4 linked regions of the Saccharomyces cerevisiae S288C genome follow. Changing the gene in region 2 together with the main gene of any one other region gives a genetic interaction. Each region holds a gene or a part of one and is shown on either strand. Other genes may lie near its edges.

Region 1 (3,011 bases), on a different chromosome or scaffold from region 2:
ATGATAATGGCAGTCGCAGTGGCAGTTTCGGAACGCTAGACACAGACACTGGATTGCATTCTTCGTTCACAAGCACTTCTTGCGAGTCCGATAACGAATGTTCTAAGATTTCCAACAAATTTTCCTTGTTCGAAAAAAAATTCAACGAACTTCGCATGAGTTCCTCTTCTTTAACTAACTAACCCCCTCCTTTTTGGCACAAAAGTGTACTACACATCTGTTTTAAGCCCACAATTGATAGACCTTCTCTTGATGATCATCTGTTTTCCCGAAAATATTACTTGCCAAAGCAAGTTGTAGTTATATTCACACTTCCGTTATGACCCCCTCATCCGTTTAATGTTATTTGTTTTTATGGTATTCCCTTTATTCATTTTTTTTCTTGCTTTTTTTTGTTGATCCCTGTAACCCCTTTTTTTTTTTTGGAAGTTGCTATTATTATTCATTCACATTTGTTCTGTCTTTGTTAATTTTCCAGGTCACCGTATTTAATTTCTATATAACTGTTTCTAATATTTACTTCGTTTTATCCAAGCGTTATTTACTCAATATTCAAAACTTTACTTTTTACCACCTGTATAACATCTTTTTCAATTTGATAAAACGTTTTGAAATCTAAGGGAACAATGTCACAGTCAGTTTCGTCGTTGATGTCTGGTAACTCCAGATCCCTGAATTGAGACTCCATCATATCAGCTTTCATGAAATGACCCTTCCTTGTTTTGAGCCTTTTCAGAACTTCTATTTTACTTGCATACAAAAAGATAAAATGGAACTCCGATTCAGGGCATGTGTGCCTAATCAAATCTCTGTATTTCTTCTTCAAGCTCGAGCAAGCAACAATTGACAAATGCTCCTTAGTGCTTGCTGCAGCTTTTGTAGATTCTACGGCAACTTTTTTCAACCAGTCCCAACGGTCGTCGTCATTTAATGGAATCCCTCTTGTCATCTTTTCTACGTTGGCAGGCGGGTGTAAATCATCACCTTCGATGAATTTCAAATCCGGGTATATATCTTTAAATTCATGGATTAGTTCACCTGCAATGGTTGATTTTCCTGTACCTGCAGTACCTGCCAATACAATAACCTTAAATTTCCCCATAGTTTTGTGTTTCTCTGTCATCAACTGCGTTGTCCATCCATACGCTTACTGAGACACTATGAAAGCCTGTTTAGTCTTCGGAAAGCTATTTATTGCTTGCTACTTGAAAACCTTTTGATTATCGATATTTTTTAACGGGACCTTATATAATTATTGCTTGGAAACTAACGGTGTTATAATTTTTGACAAACTAATTAGCGACGTAATGAAAGCAGAAAAACCGCAAGAATATGAGAAAGGGAAAATATCAAAGAAAACAAAATATATTCCTTATATAACACCATCTTTTGTACATAAATGAATTGGCAAGCACATATTGTGCATGCATGCAAGGGGCAGAATCTTAATACTAAGTAATTTAATTATGCAAACATAACCCCGTATTGAGGCCTTCCGCCGCATTTAACGACCAAATCTATGAGTTTTAAATCAGACACCCGCCTTAACAGGTCCCATATAGTGCTATCAGATAAAAGTTCGTTTTCTGTCAATGATGGATTGTAATAATATTTCAGGATAAATTTCTCTATGAGCTGTAATCTTGATCTATTCTGCAAAAAAAACTCAAAGTTCAGACTCCCTAGTGAATCAGCATACGTGAAATATAATAAAAATATTACAGTCGTAAGGGGTTCAATAGACGCTAGTTTTTGCACTGTAGATCCAGAGACGTATAGGATTAAATCTATTGATTCAAATAGAGAAACAAAGGTAAACTTAGGGCTTAGGTCAGTTCCTTGCATATCAATACCTTGAAAAAACCATTCTATAAAAGGGGATATCACATCATATGGATTCTTCAAAGTAAAATGATTACCTAGAGACTTCACACATTCCCTACGTGTTAAAAAAATATGCATATTGTTGTAAAAGTTTTTAGGGAAGTCTTCTTTCGATGTATCTTCAGTGTTCATTGAACACAAGTCTAGCTCTTTAGATGTATCAAAATCGCCATTCTGCATATCTTGATAGTGCTTTCTGGGAAGAAAATGAGAAATATTTTTCAACAGGATAGGATGATGATCTAGTAGTAGTCTAAAAAAAGTTTCATGCTCAAATAATGTAGGGATCACAATATTTCTTGAATAAGCTTTTATATTACTTACGCCAAACTCCAGGGGATCGAAAAGATATTTTTCCCACATGATCTTCGATAATAATGAAAAAGATGGCTTCAAGCAACTATAGAAGAACCTGTTCAAGGTGACCATCGACGGTTCACCCTTTGTGAAAACGAAAATATGTTGAATAATCTCTACAGGTAAATCTTGCAAAGTTAGCTTTTGATGATGCCTAAGTTTCTTCGCAGGAAGCCTGATAGTCCTTTGATCTTCCGATATTGGCCTCTTGGATGAAACCCGGGTCTCTAAGAGATGCACATGGTGCTGCAAGTTTATCGAAGACGATGCATACCGATGCAAAGGAAGTGCATGTTTCTTTCTCTTATCATGACGGCTAGAATATCCTGTCAAAATATAACCCATGGCCACTTATTCTAAAAATACACTGCGTGAAAAAAGCACTGCTTACTTTAACAACATTAGTCCTCTTTAAATATATTTCATTACTCATCGCAAACTGAACAATTCTTGATGCTTAATTCTTACTAGCTGCAAAAAAGACAAGATGAAACGCGGTGTATGGTTGGACGATATAGTCTTATCCTAAATACACACAACATATATTGCGTAATAAAGAGATCTTCCTATCTATAGCACAATTTGAAGTTGAAAAGGCGTATCTAAAATGCTAATACTAAACAAGGCATCATGTTTTTGTCCCATTCACGTAGCACTGGCGATTTGCTTCCATATTCTTCTGTGTACAATAATAGCTTGGGTGGCTTTTTTCACAATGGGCTCTACGCGAAATTGTCGCAGCCCCCTGTTGGCCGTGCTGTGGGCCATTC
Region 2 (2,907 bases):
AAGCCTGCCCCACTAAGGCGGCAGCCCTACCGACGAAGGTATTGTCACCAGTGGCAGTAACAACCATAAAAGCCTCGCCGGTTTTCACAGTGGATGAGGAGAACACCTCATCACCGTAATGCTTTTCAGCGGCTAAGGATTCACCAGTGATGGCCGATTGATCGATCTGCAAAAAACAGTCTTCAGTGACAATACGACCATCTGCGGGAGCAATTGTGCCACTTTCCAATTGCAAAATCTCACCAGGAACTACCTCATTAGCCGGAATTTCGATCAATTGGCCATCTCTAATAACTGTTGCAGTATTGGCCAACGTCTTTTTCAGCTCGTCTACGATGGAACCTGCCTGGAATTCTTGAATAAATCCGACAGATGCGTTTAATAGCAGTAAAGCACAGATGACACCGACATCAACCCAATCAGACAAACCGGCAGCCAAAATAGCAGCAGCCTCCATAACGAATTGAATAGGCCCTACGAAGAACATCAAAAACTTCACAATCAACGATTCATTCTCCTCAGCCATTTGATTTAACCCATATTTCTTTCTTCTCCTGGCGACTTCATCCGAAGTCAAACCATACGCAGGGTCCGTAGAAAGGTCCTTTTCAGGAACAACCCTTTGGCCAGCGTGCACCCCATCAGTACGTACTTCTTCTTCACCAGATTCATCACCCTCACCGTAGTTAGATTGTAGTTCATCAATCAATTGGTCTATATCTTCATCTGAGTCAGAATCATCAGCGGCAGAAGCGGCTGCGGCCTTCCGTGGAACGGCTGCAGCCGATGACGAGGCGGAAGTTGATGTAGAAGACGAAGATGACGAAGAAGCGGCAGAATTATTTGCAGGGTCATCGCCATCACTGGCATGGAGGTACTCTTTCGAGGGTTTCTCCTTGTATTGCTTTGCTTCAGTGGAAGACATAACGCAAAACAGTTTCCTTTTGCTTAAATTGTACTAGCACACAGCAACGAAAAATGAAAAAAAAAAAGTTATGGGTATGTTTAAAAAAGCCCAGTAGCTTGGATACAGTAGGTTATCCAGCAAGAAATGCTGGAAGAAATAATAGATGGTAAAAGAGGATATTACACACCTTTATATAACGAAGTACCATCACACCGCCAATTACGTTTAGGGGACGCCGACAAGAAGTAAATTCACTATTATGTACTTACAAATATGTTTCCACCGATAACCTTTCCCCCTTCGACGGTTATTTGAGCAGCGTCTGTCCGCCATTTTTCCAGAGAAGCTACTTCATCAATCAATTGACTTCGCAATTCCCTTAAACAAAAAAAATTTCTTTTGCCCTCCCTCGACGATTTTGGAGTAGAGAATACCTTAGGCCTTTTTTTTTCTTTTTTCTCACGGCTGCTCTTCCTCTTTTTCGCATATTCTATTTTATCATCGACTTCCCTAATTCGCACTCGTACCAAAATGTTAAGCAGTATGGCGAAGAACGTGGCGCGCTGGAGTCGTGAATGTTTGGGTCCTTGATGATGGACTACGGTAGTAAGTATGTAGTAGTTGCAACTTCATATGTTCACTTCTGATCCAAGGAAGAGCGGTTATGAATTAATCTCTTGGCATGAGCGGACGGGTAAGGGGACACCGCCTTTTCTTCGATGGGAATCAGGGTAATGGTATATGATGGATTATTGTGGAATCATTTAGTACGGCAGATGTTGAAAAAAAAAGCAGAAAATTTTTGAATTTTTTTCGTTGACATTGGAAGATTTCGTAGTGGAAACAGCTGCAATTGCTTGTTAAGTAGTAACCCCTCCTTTGTCACAAGAGAGCGAATATTCTTTCTAGGGAGGTTTAAGAATAGAACATCTCACACCAGACGCGACTCATAATTCATAATGCCAATTGACCAAGAAAAATTAGCTAAGCTACAAAAGTTGTCTGCTAACAACAAAGTTGGTGGTACTAGAAGAAAGCTTAACAAGAAGGCAGGCTCTTCTGCCGGTGCCAACAAGGATGACACCAAGTTGCAAAGTCAATTAGCTAAGTTGCACGCTGTCACCATTGACAACGTCGCCGAAGCCAACTTTTTCAAGGACGACGGTAAGGTCATGCACTTCAACAAGGTCGGTGTCCAAGTTGCTGCTCAACACAACACTTCTGTATTCTACGGTCTACCACAGGAAAAGAACTTGCAAGATTTGTTCCCAGGTATTATCTCTCAATTGGGCCCTGAAGCCATCCAAGCCTTGTCTCAATTGGCTGCCCAAATGGAAAAGCACGAAGCCAAGGCTCCAGCTGATGCTGAAAAGAAGGATGAAGCTATTCCAGAGTTAGTTGAAGGTCAAACTTTTGATGCTGACGTCGAATAAATAACTTAATCTTTAATTTTAACGTTAAATAAAAAAACACATATTTTGTTCCATTTTTTTTCATTTTTTTTAGCATATCTAAAGCATATAATACAAACACTGTTTTCTGCAAAAAAAAAAAAATAAAAAATAAAATATAAAAAAACAATATACCACACTATGCTGCACACGTGAAATGATGAACTTGTACGTCACCACTTTGTGCGCAAAAAATTGGCAAAAGTAGAGAACATGTCACTAACTGTATCGGAATATTACAACGTTTTTTTATTCTACTTATCTCAATGGCTAAAGTATATATCTATCTATATATGTATGTGTAGGTGTGCTGATGGAGACAAATACGTTTTCCTCTAGCCTTACAACAGGCCGGTACCATTCTTTATCGCATCCTTGATGAGCTCATCTACATCAACGTCTGAACCTTCACTTAGTTTCTTTCTGTTTCTTTGACAGGTCAGTGTGTTAGAATGTCTTTTTAGAGCATCCTTCCTGGCAAACCCTTTGCCACAGTTTGAGCAAATATGCGGCAGCACGAGTGAGTGTACCTTTTCATGTCTTCTCAGA
Region 3 (3,229 bases), on a different chromosome or scaffold from region 2:
AATTTGCATTTTGCTCAAACTTGCTATATTCCCCTCCATGACTACATAGACCTTGTCAAAATTTTGGCTGCCAGACCTAAACAAGTAGTCTTTCCTGTATATTTGCTTCAAATCTCGACTTCTAACCTCTATTCTCATATTGCTTTCCCCATCAGGCAACCCCATTTTATAAGTAGATGGGAAAACTTTCATACCATTTACTAGGCGAGTAGATTGTCTTGTTGATGTGACTGATGATACCGGTCTCGATCTAATGTCGCCGTTTTCTATCAATATAGAATTAGCTTGAGAAAAGTTCCTGTCACTTTTTATATATCCGACTCCATTAACGACTTTGACGTCCTTTGATGGCACCTTTAAATTTGAACTATTGAAAAATTCATTGTTGGTGACCATACTATTTCCTCTACTATTGTTACTGAAGGCATTAAGTTCTTCATTGTCATCTTCATCAGGTTCTATAATAAGATCTTTTGGCTCAGGTATAAATTCGAACGTCTCGATTTCCCTTATCAGTTTATGGAATGGCTTAAACCAAGATGAAGATTTCCCTAGCTCTAATTGAACTTGCACCATATATATAACTTTTCCAAAAGAGTAAAAATACAAATCCAGATTATCGATTTTATTAAATTCTTGCCAATGACTATTGAACGTAGGTGGGAGTCGGGCATTACTTCTTGTCACAAACGCTACTGTCTTTGCCGTATGATTTTTCAGACATTCAGGCTTTCTGGGAAACTTGTCAAATTGAAAGCTATAATTATATGAACCTGGTTTAACTTTGAACGGCTTGGAGGAGCCATCAAGAGCATTCCATACATTATCTGGAGGGAAAACTCTCTGTTCGAATTTCATTAATGTATGAAAGGATTTGTTGTCTTGGCCCGGCATCATCATGCCATTCTGTTGAAACATGTACTCTTGATCAATTTTTGTTAAGGTCTCTGAGAATCCTTTTAGAATGACGGAAATTTTCCTTATAGATAGCGCTTTTGTTAACTGAAGACTAACTATCCCTGACATTTGATCATTAGAGCTATAAAACTCCCCGTTGTACGGTGGGTTTAAGGATATTGAAATTTTTGGAGCCATGGTTTGACAAACTGTATGGTTCTCAACCTTCTCTAATCAAAAGCAGAATCTTAAATATAAACACTCACAGAATATCCGTTGGTCAATGAAGTAATTCTCCTTTGTACTGGCTGCTTTTTCTCCTCTAGTTTATGTAATTCTACTTTTGGATGGGTGCGACTGCTTTTAATTGATTGAGTGGCGGTGTTAGAAGGGCTGTAGAGTCGAAGGCTTGTTTCTCTCTTACGCACCTCTTGTGAAAAGGGCGTGCACCTTCCCCAGGACCCTCTCTCACCCTCAACCCGCATTTTGCTGAGAATTTTCACCAAGGCCCTAGGTGATATTAGATTCCACCTGACTAATTGCATTACAGCCGACCCAAGGCAATATCAGTTTAATAAAATATCATGTATCTCACCCTCTTCTTGGTATTAGTAAAGAGACGCCTGATCTTGTAACAGTGGTGAAGATTGTACTAGAGCAGAATCAAGAATTTAAAAAGTGTAAAGGCAAGGCAGAGGCGATGTACATAAAACTTCGAAGTAAGAAATATTTAATAGTTCTCGCCACATCACTATGCAGCTATATAAAAACTACTATAAACGTTTGTTTTGTTCCTTACGCACAATATCCTTGCCTAGAAATCGTTTTTGAAATTTAAATTTTTATTACCATTTATTTGATTCGCCTTCAGAAAAATATGGAAGAGTGCATATTTAAAAAGGACTATTTCAGCATATAGTAAAAGTCAGGTTATTTGTTTATTTGCGATATCAGAGTAACTTAAACTAACTATGCAGGGCACTTTTAAAAGGTTTTACCATCCCACGCTTACGCGGATGTCCTTCTTGGATAAATTCCTCAAGCCTATGATGGCAACGGCTTCCCCAAAGGAATACCAGATCAAACAACTGGTCAAGCCAATAGGCTTAACACAAGCACCAAGGAAAAGCACCAAATACTCCCAGGGGAACTCTTTGAGGGATATGTTTGATTCGGAAAAGACAAACCACAGAGTTAAAGAGTTGGCCGTTGAATTCAGCAAATCTGGACTTTATGACGTGCAAGTCTTCCAAAAGACAAAGGGGAAATTGTTTATAGCTCCAGTTTCATATTGGAAAGAAGATAAAGCTTTGTTTTTTCCTCATTTGATAGGAACGGCAATGGATGGTACGAAACAACAGAATATCGAGGATATGTTAAGGGGTAAAACCAGTATAGTGAGGTTATTTAGTACAGCATCTGGCGATAAGTTGAGTAGTTCATACTTCCAAGGAATCGTAGACGATAACAAAAAAACTGACTACTTGACTGAAGCTGATGCGCGTTTAAGTTTAAATGACAGTAACGTCCAAATCATCGAGGTCAATCTTGTAGAAAACGCTGTGAAAAGTGCTCTAGTGAAAACGCTTGCTCGTTGGGCCAATCGCGTTCCATCCTGGCGCCAGCCATTTTATTTCGAATGTTCTAGAGGCCAATGGCCATTTTCCGTCAGGGAAGAGCTCTTTTGCAATAATGTCTTTTCTGGATACGTCTTTCTTGTGGACCAGCAGTTAAAAATTAGGTGGGCAGCTTGCGGGGAGGCTACTCCATCTGAAAAGGAAGCATTGTGGAAGTTTGCCAAACGTCTGTGAAGTTGACGCTTTGTGCGGCGGCCAACAAGGGATGGGCGGCTATTTGGCGATCGTGTTCATTCCCCAAACTAACACGAAGAGCATGAGAGAGAAAAAACAAAAGTGCTTGAAACAGGTAAGACGTTTATCATTGATATCACCAAAGAAATATATAATGCCGGATTCTATTTTTGAACAGCCCTTTGTTTACTGTGGTGTTTGCCACAGAAGAACATCGCATGGAGATCCATTGAGGCTGACCTCATGTGCTCATATCCTCTGTTCGCAGCATTCTCCATTAACATCAAAGGTGTGTCCTATATGCCGTTCGAGCGATATCTCCATCATTAACCTTGTGGAATCTAAACAGCTGCCTACCGACATTAGGATTTTTTTTGAGCCACTGCCCCCACTTTTGGAGTCGTTATATAATGTTTCCCAATTCCAACTGAATGGGCTTTCGAAACAGTGTCAATACTATCAAAATCATTGTTTAAAGTTGAGAGAAAAATGTGCAAGACAACAGCAGCTGCTATATCAGG
Region 4 (3,219 bases), on a different chromosome or scaffold from region 2:
AAACACCTGAATAGGTAACTAAAGCAAAAGTCATTGGGCCAGAGATTAGTGTAGGGTCTTTTTTCAGATCATATATAGCAGCAATTGGGATACCGAAATTTGATACGGGACCCCAGAAGTGTGTTGTGAAAATATATTTCAAAGTTTCTTTATTGATGTATTTTTGAAGGAATGAGCGTGCTGCAGCGCGTTGAACCGGTTGAGACATTCTTTTTGATCACAGTGCAATAAAATCTATACGTATATATGTAGATGTATTGACGTTTGCTGATTGGCAAGTGAGTGTTTAAATAGATTATCGGTGGAGAAAGGTGGAGACCGCAGGTTGTAGTGGCTATTCCTTCTTTGCCAGAAAGCACTTGTCATTTCGCCTCGGTTAAAGCGGGGGGCCGTCGCAAAAGAGAACTTTACAGGCCACGTCCAGAGCAAAAAACTCCACTTATTTGACTAGCCATGAAGCTATAATACCACCCAGCAATATAGAACTGGGTTATAAAATTATATTTAATTCGATAGTAGGCGGTCAAAAATCAAGATTACTATTAGTAGTAACCACATACTATTGGAGTGCTGAGGGGTAATAATTTTCTTGTTTTTCGAGAAGCAAGTAAGCGTCTTCTTTATCTTCGTCCTGCCCTTTATTCTTTTTACTCTAATAATTTCAAGTTCTATTTCTCCTTCCTCATCATCCCCTTCTTCTTTTTCTTCTTCTTCTTCTTTTTCTTCTGTGGTGTCTGTGTCAGTGCAAACTTCGATTTCTTCTTCGAAAGAACTCGTTTCATGTATTTTTCTATCAAAGTTACTGCAGATCTTCTGGTCTTGCTTGCTGCCTCTTTTTCTCAACGAAAGGATAGAAAACCTACCACCTCGAGTCAATATGGTGTTCGTTTCATGACACTCATCTGCAACTTCCGTTTGCGTACTCGCTTCCGACAATCCGTACCAACTTGAATCGCTATCTTCTGTGGATGTTGCAGAATGAATAGGGAAAGATGACACTGTATTATTCTTTCCAAATGTTACATTTGTAATAGTGCACTTTACGATTTCCCTTGCTTCATCGAAATACTCAAGTTCAATTCGGAAAATTAACTTGGCGGCTAAATGATGGTTGTCGCGAAAAGGATGATTATCAATTGCAATCAAACCAAAAGCATCACCATTTTTCAAATCAATTTCATCATTTGGCCCATCAGACACTAAGTTTACTGTACCAGTCTTGTTATTCAAATCCCGAATGCAGATGCGGAGTTGTTCTATAGAGGGAACTCCTTCAATTTTGGGTATTGGTGTCTTTATACATAGGACAGCATGCTGTCTGCTTAGTTCTGGCTCATCAAAATATAGATTGTACGGCTTACATAGACTATTTTGATCAAATGAACTCGAACGGCCAATGGTTTTACACAAACCTTGTGTTGTTTCCGTATCTTCTATAGCGAAAACAAAAGTTCTTATATCACCCATGATTTCCCCAGTTCCTTCCCTCAGTTTCAACTTTATGCAACTGCCTAGTGATTATTTTTTTTTCAAGTAATTTGTAAAACTCAATACTATGAGCCACTTTGATTGCTTTAGTATTCTGTGAAGATATCCCAAAAATGTTAATTTCCGCTGTAGTGCATTATTCGGGGCTTCTTGAGCCGTTTTGTTTGGACAAATTTAGGAGAAGGAATCTGTAAAAAAAAATAAATCATTGGTATTATCAGGTTATATATCACAAATAGGCCAGTTGAACGCCATGAAGGAGTAAAATATACATTTACAAAATTAAAAAGTGGTAGAGTTAAAAATAAGCGCTAGCGTGGTGACACCCACAAAAAAAATAATTCTATAAGAAAGATACAAAAGACGAAAAAGAAATCATGGTTTCACATAATTACACAGTTTTTTTTCAACTTGTCTCTTTTCTTTTCTTTATTACTCCCATTAAAGGGAAGGAACTTGTTTTTCTTTGAATTTTTTTCAGGTCTTTCAAACCTTTCCCTTTGATGATTTCTACCGTTATTAGCATAACCATTTTGCATGTTATTTGCCGCACGCATATCTTCTTGTTCCTGTAACCTCCTAGCTAGTTCCTCATCATCTTCGATTTGTTGAACACCGCTTGCTCCACTATTAACTTGGTTGCTAGTTACATGCCCTGTATTCTGGTCACTGAATGGGTTAGAAATGTAGGACTCATTTTGCCCGGTAGCAGTAGTTTCTGTTCTTTCCAGACTTGTGGGAATGAAGTTGCCCGTGTAGTAAGAATCCTGCGATCCATTCACGGATTTAAGCGACTGCCAGTTTATGTCCTTGCGATTTCTGTAAGTAGGATCCGTGACCAAAGTAAACAATTCGCCATTGTTTTTATATAATGTGCAAAAGTGATCATTTCTAAAAAGCACGGCATACGATCTTTCTACTAAAATTTCTCTGAGATGAGTTAGACCATATTCAGTCAATTGTGTGGCAGATCTTGCCAGAAACGATTTTAAGTAAGGTGCATCAGATTGGATTTGCTCGCTGTTTTCAAATTGGGCATTATTCTTTTGGATCTCATACGACTGTACCAAAACTTTTTGCGCGCCCATATAAGAATATTTGGACACATGTTCGTAAGAGTTCGGATCATTGTCCCCATCTATTATCCATCCATGAACGATGCCGACATTGTAGAGCCTGAAAATCGACATTTCTACGCCGTCCTCAAAAGATCCGTTAAATTCTGGGTTGATGTTCAATCCGCTATATAATTGTGGTAGGATTTGGAGTAGCTGTTGTTTGTCCACATCTGTACCATTCGGATTTTGAACGCCCATGTCGGCTAGAGTTTGCACAAGTTCGTTTAAAGTAACAGTTTCCTTGCCTCTCACTAGTCTGGAAATTTCTTGGGCATAGCGAGCATGGGCAGGTGATATCAATAATACGTTAGCTAGTGCAATTAGCGCGCATTCACCTTGCCCATTTTGAAGTAATATTTTAAACTGAGTGCCATTTATTTGAACATTTTTGGTTAGAAATGTAACATCCATATTGGCTAATTCCTGTGAACGATTGTATACGGACTGAAAAATTGCCCCAGTCTTGATTTTAGCAAATTTGGTTTTGTTTGCTTCCTCTGTACCTCCTTCATGTTTGGTTGTTGTACGACTGTTTCATCCTTTCTTTATTTATTGAACGTGTGATTCCCCTGATCCCGCACCGTCCAGAAAAAAGAACAATTTGCTTGTCAGT

What was found.
Region 1: mutations in EGD1 (region 2) and YDR248C together harm fitness more than expected from each alone (negative genetic interaction), as found in Saccharomyces cerevisiae (2 studies listed by BioGRID).
Region 3: mutations in EGD1 (region 2) and ATP10 together harm fitness more than expected from each alone (negative genetic interaction), as found in Saccharomyces cerevisiae (2 studies listed by BioGRID).
Region 4: mutations in EGD1 (region 2) and YGL081W together harm fitness more than expected from each alone (negative genetic interaction), as found in Saccharomyces cerevisiae (2 studies listed by BioGRID).

The regions. Positions count from the first base shown.
Region 1 is NC_001136.10:957,217-960,227, forward strand, and holds YDR248C (gluconokinase), read right to left. Parts: upstream 1,124-3,011; coding exon 542-1,123; downstream 1-541. Other genes in the region: putative serine/threonine protein kinase VHS1, read left to right, coding at 1-182; YDR249C (uncharacterized protein), read right to left, coding at 1,465-2,586.
Region 2 is NC_001148.4:480,861-483,767, reverse strand, and holds EGD1 (Egd1p), read left to right. Parts: upstream 1-1,866; coding exon 1,867-2,340; downstream 2,341-2,907. Other genes in the region: H(+)-exporting P2-type ATPase PMA2, read right to left, coding at 1-925; MET31 (Met31p), read right to left, coding at 2,700-2,907. UniProt on the Saccharomyces cerevisiae protein: Component of the nascent polypeptide-associated complex (NAC), a dynamic component of the ribosomal exit tunnel, protecting the emerging polypeptides from interaction with other cytoplasmic proteins to ensure appropriate nascent protein targeting.
Region 3 is NC_001144.5:905,211-908,439, forward strand, and holds ATP10 (Atp10p), read left to right. Parts: upstream 1-1,868; coding exon 1,869-2,708; downstream 2,709-3,229. Other genes in the region: ART10 (Art10p), read right to left, coding at 1-1,095; SUMO ligase CST9, read left to right, coding at 2,740-3,229. UniProt on the Saccharomyces cerevisiae protein: Essential for the assembly of the mitochondrial F1-F0 complex.
Region 4 is NC_001139.9:355,625-358,843, reverse strand, and holds YGL081W (uncharacterized protein), read right to left. Parts: upstream 1,468-3,219; coding exon 505-1,467; downstream 1-504. Other genes in the region: pyruvate transporter MPC1, read right to left, coding at 1-208; MIY3 (Miy3p), read right to left, coding at 1,872-3,017.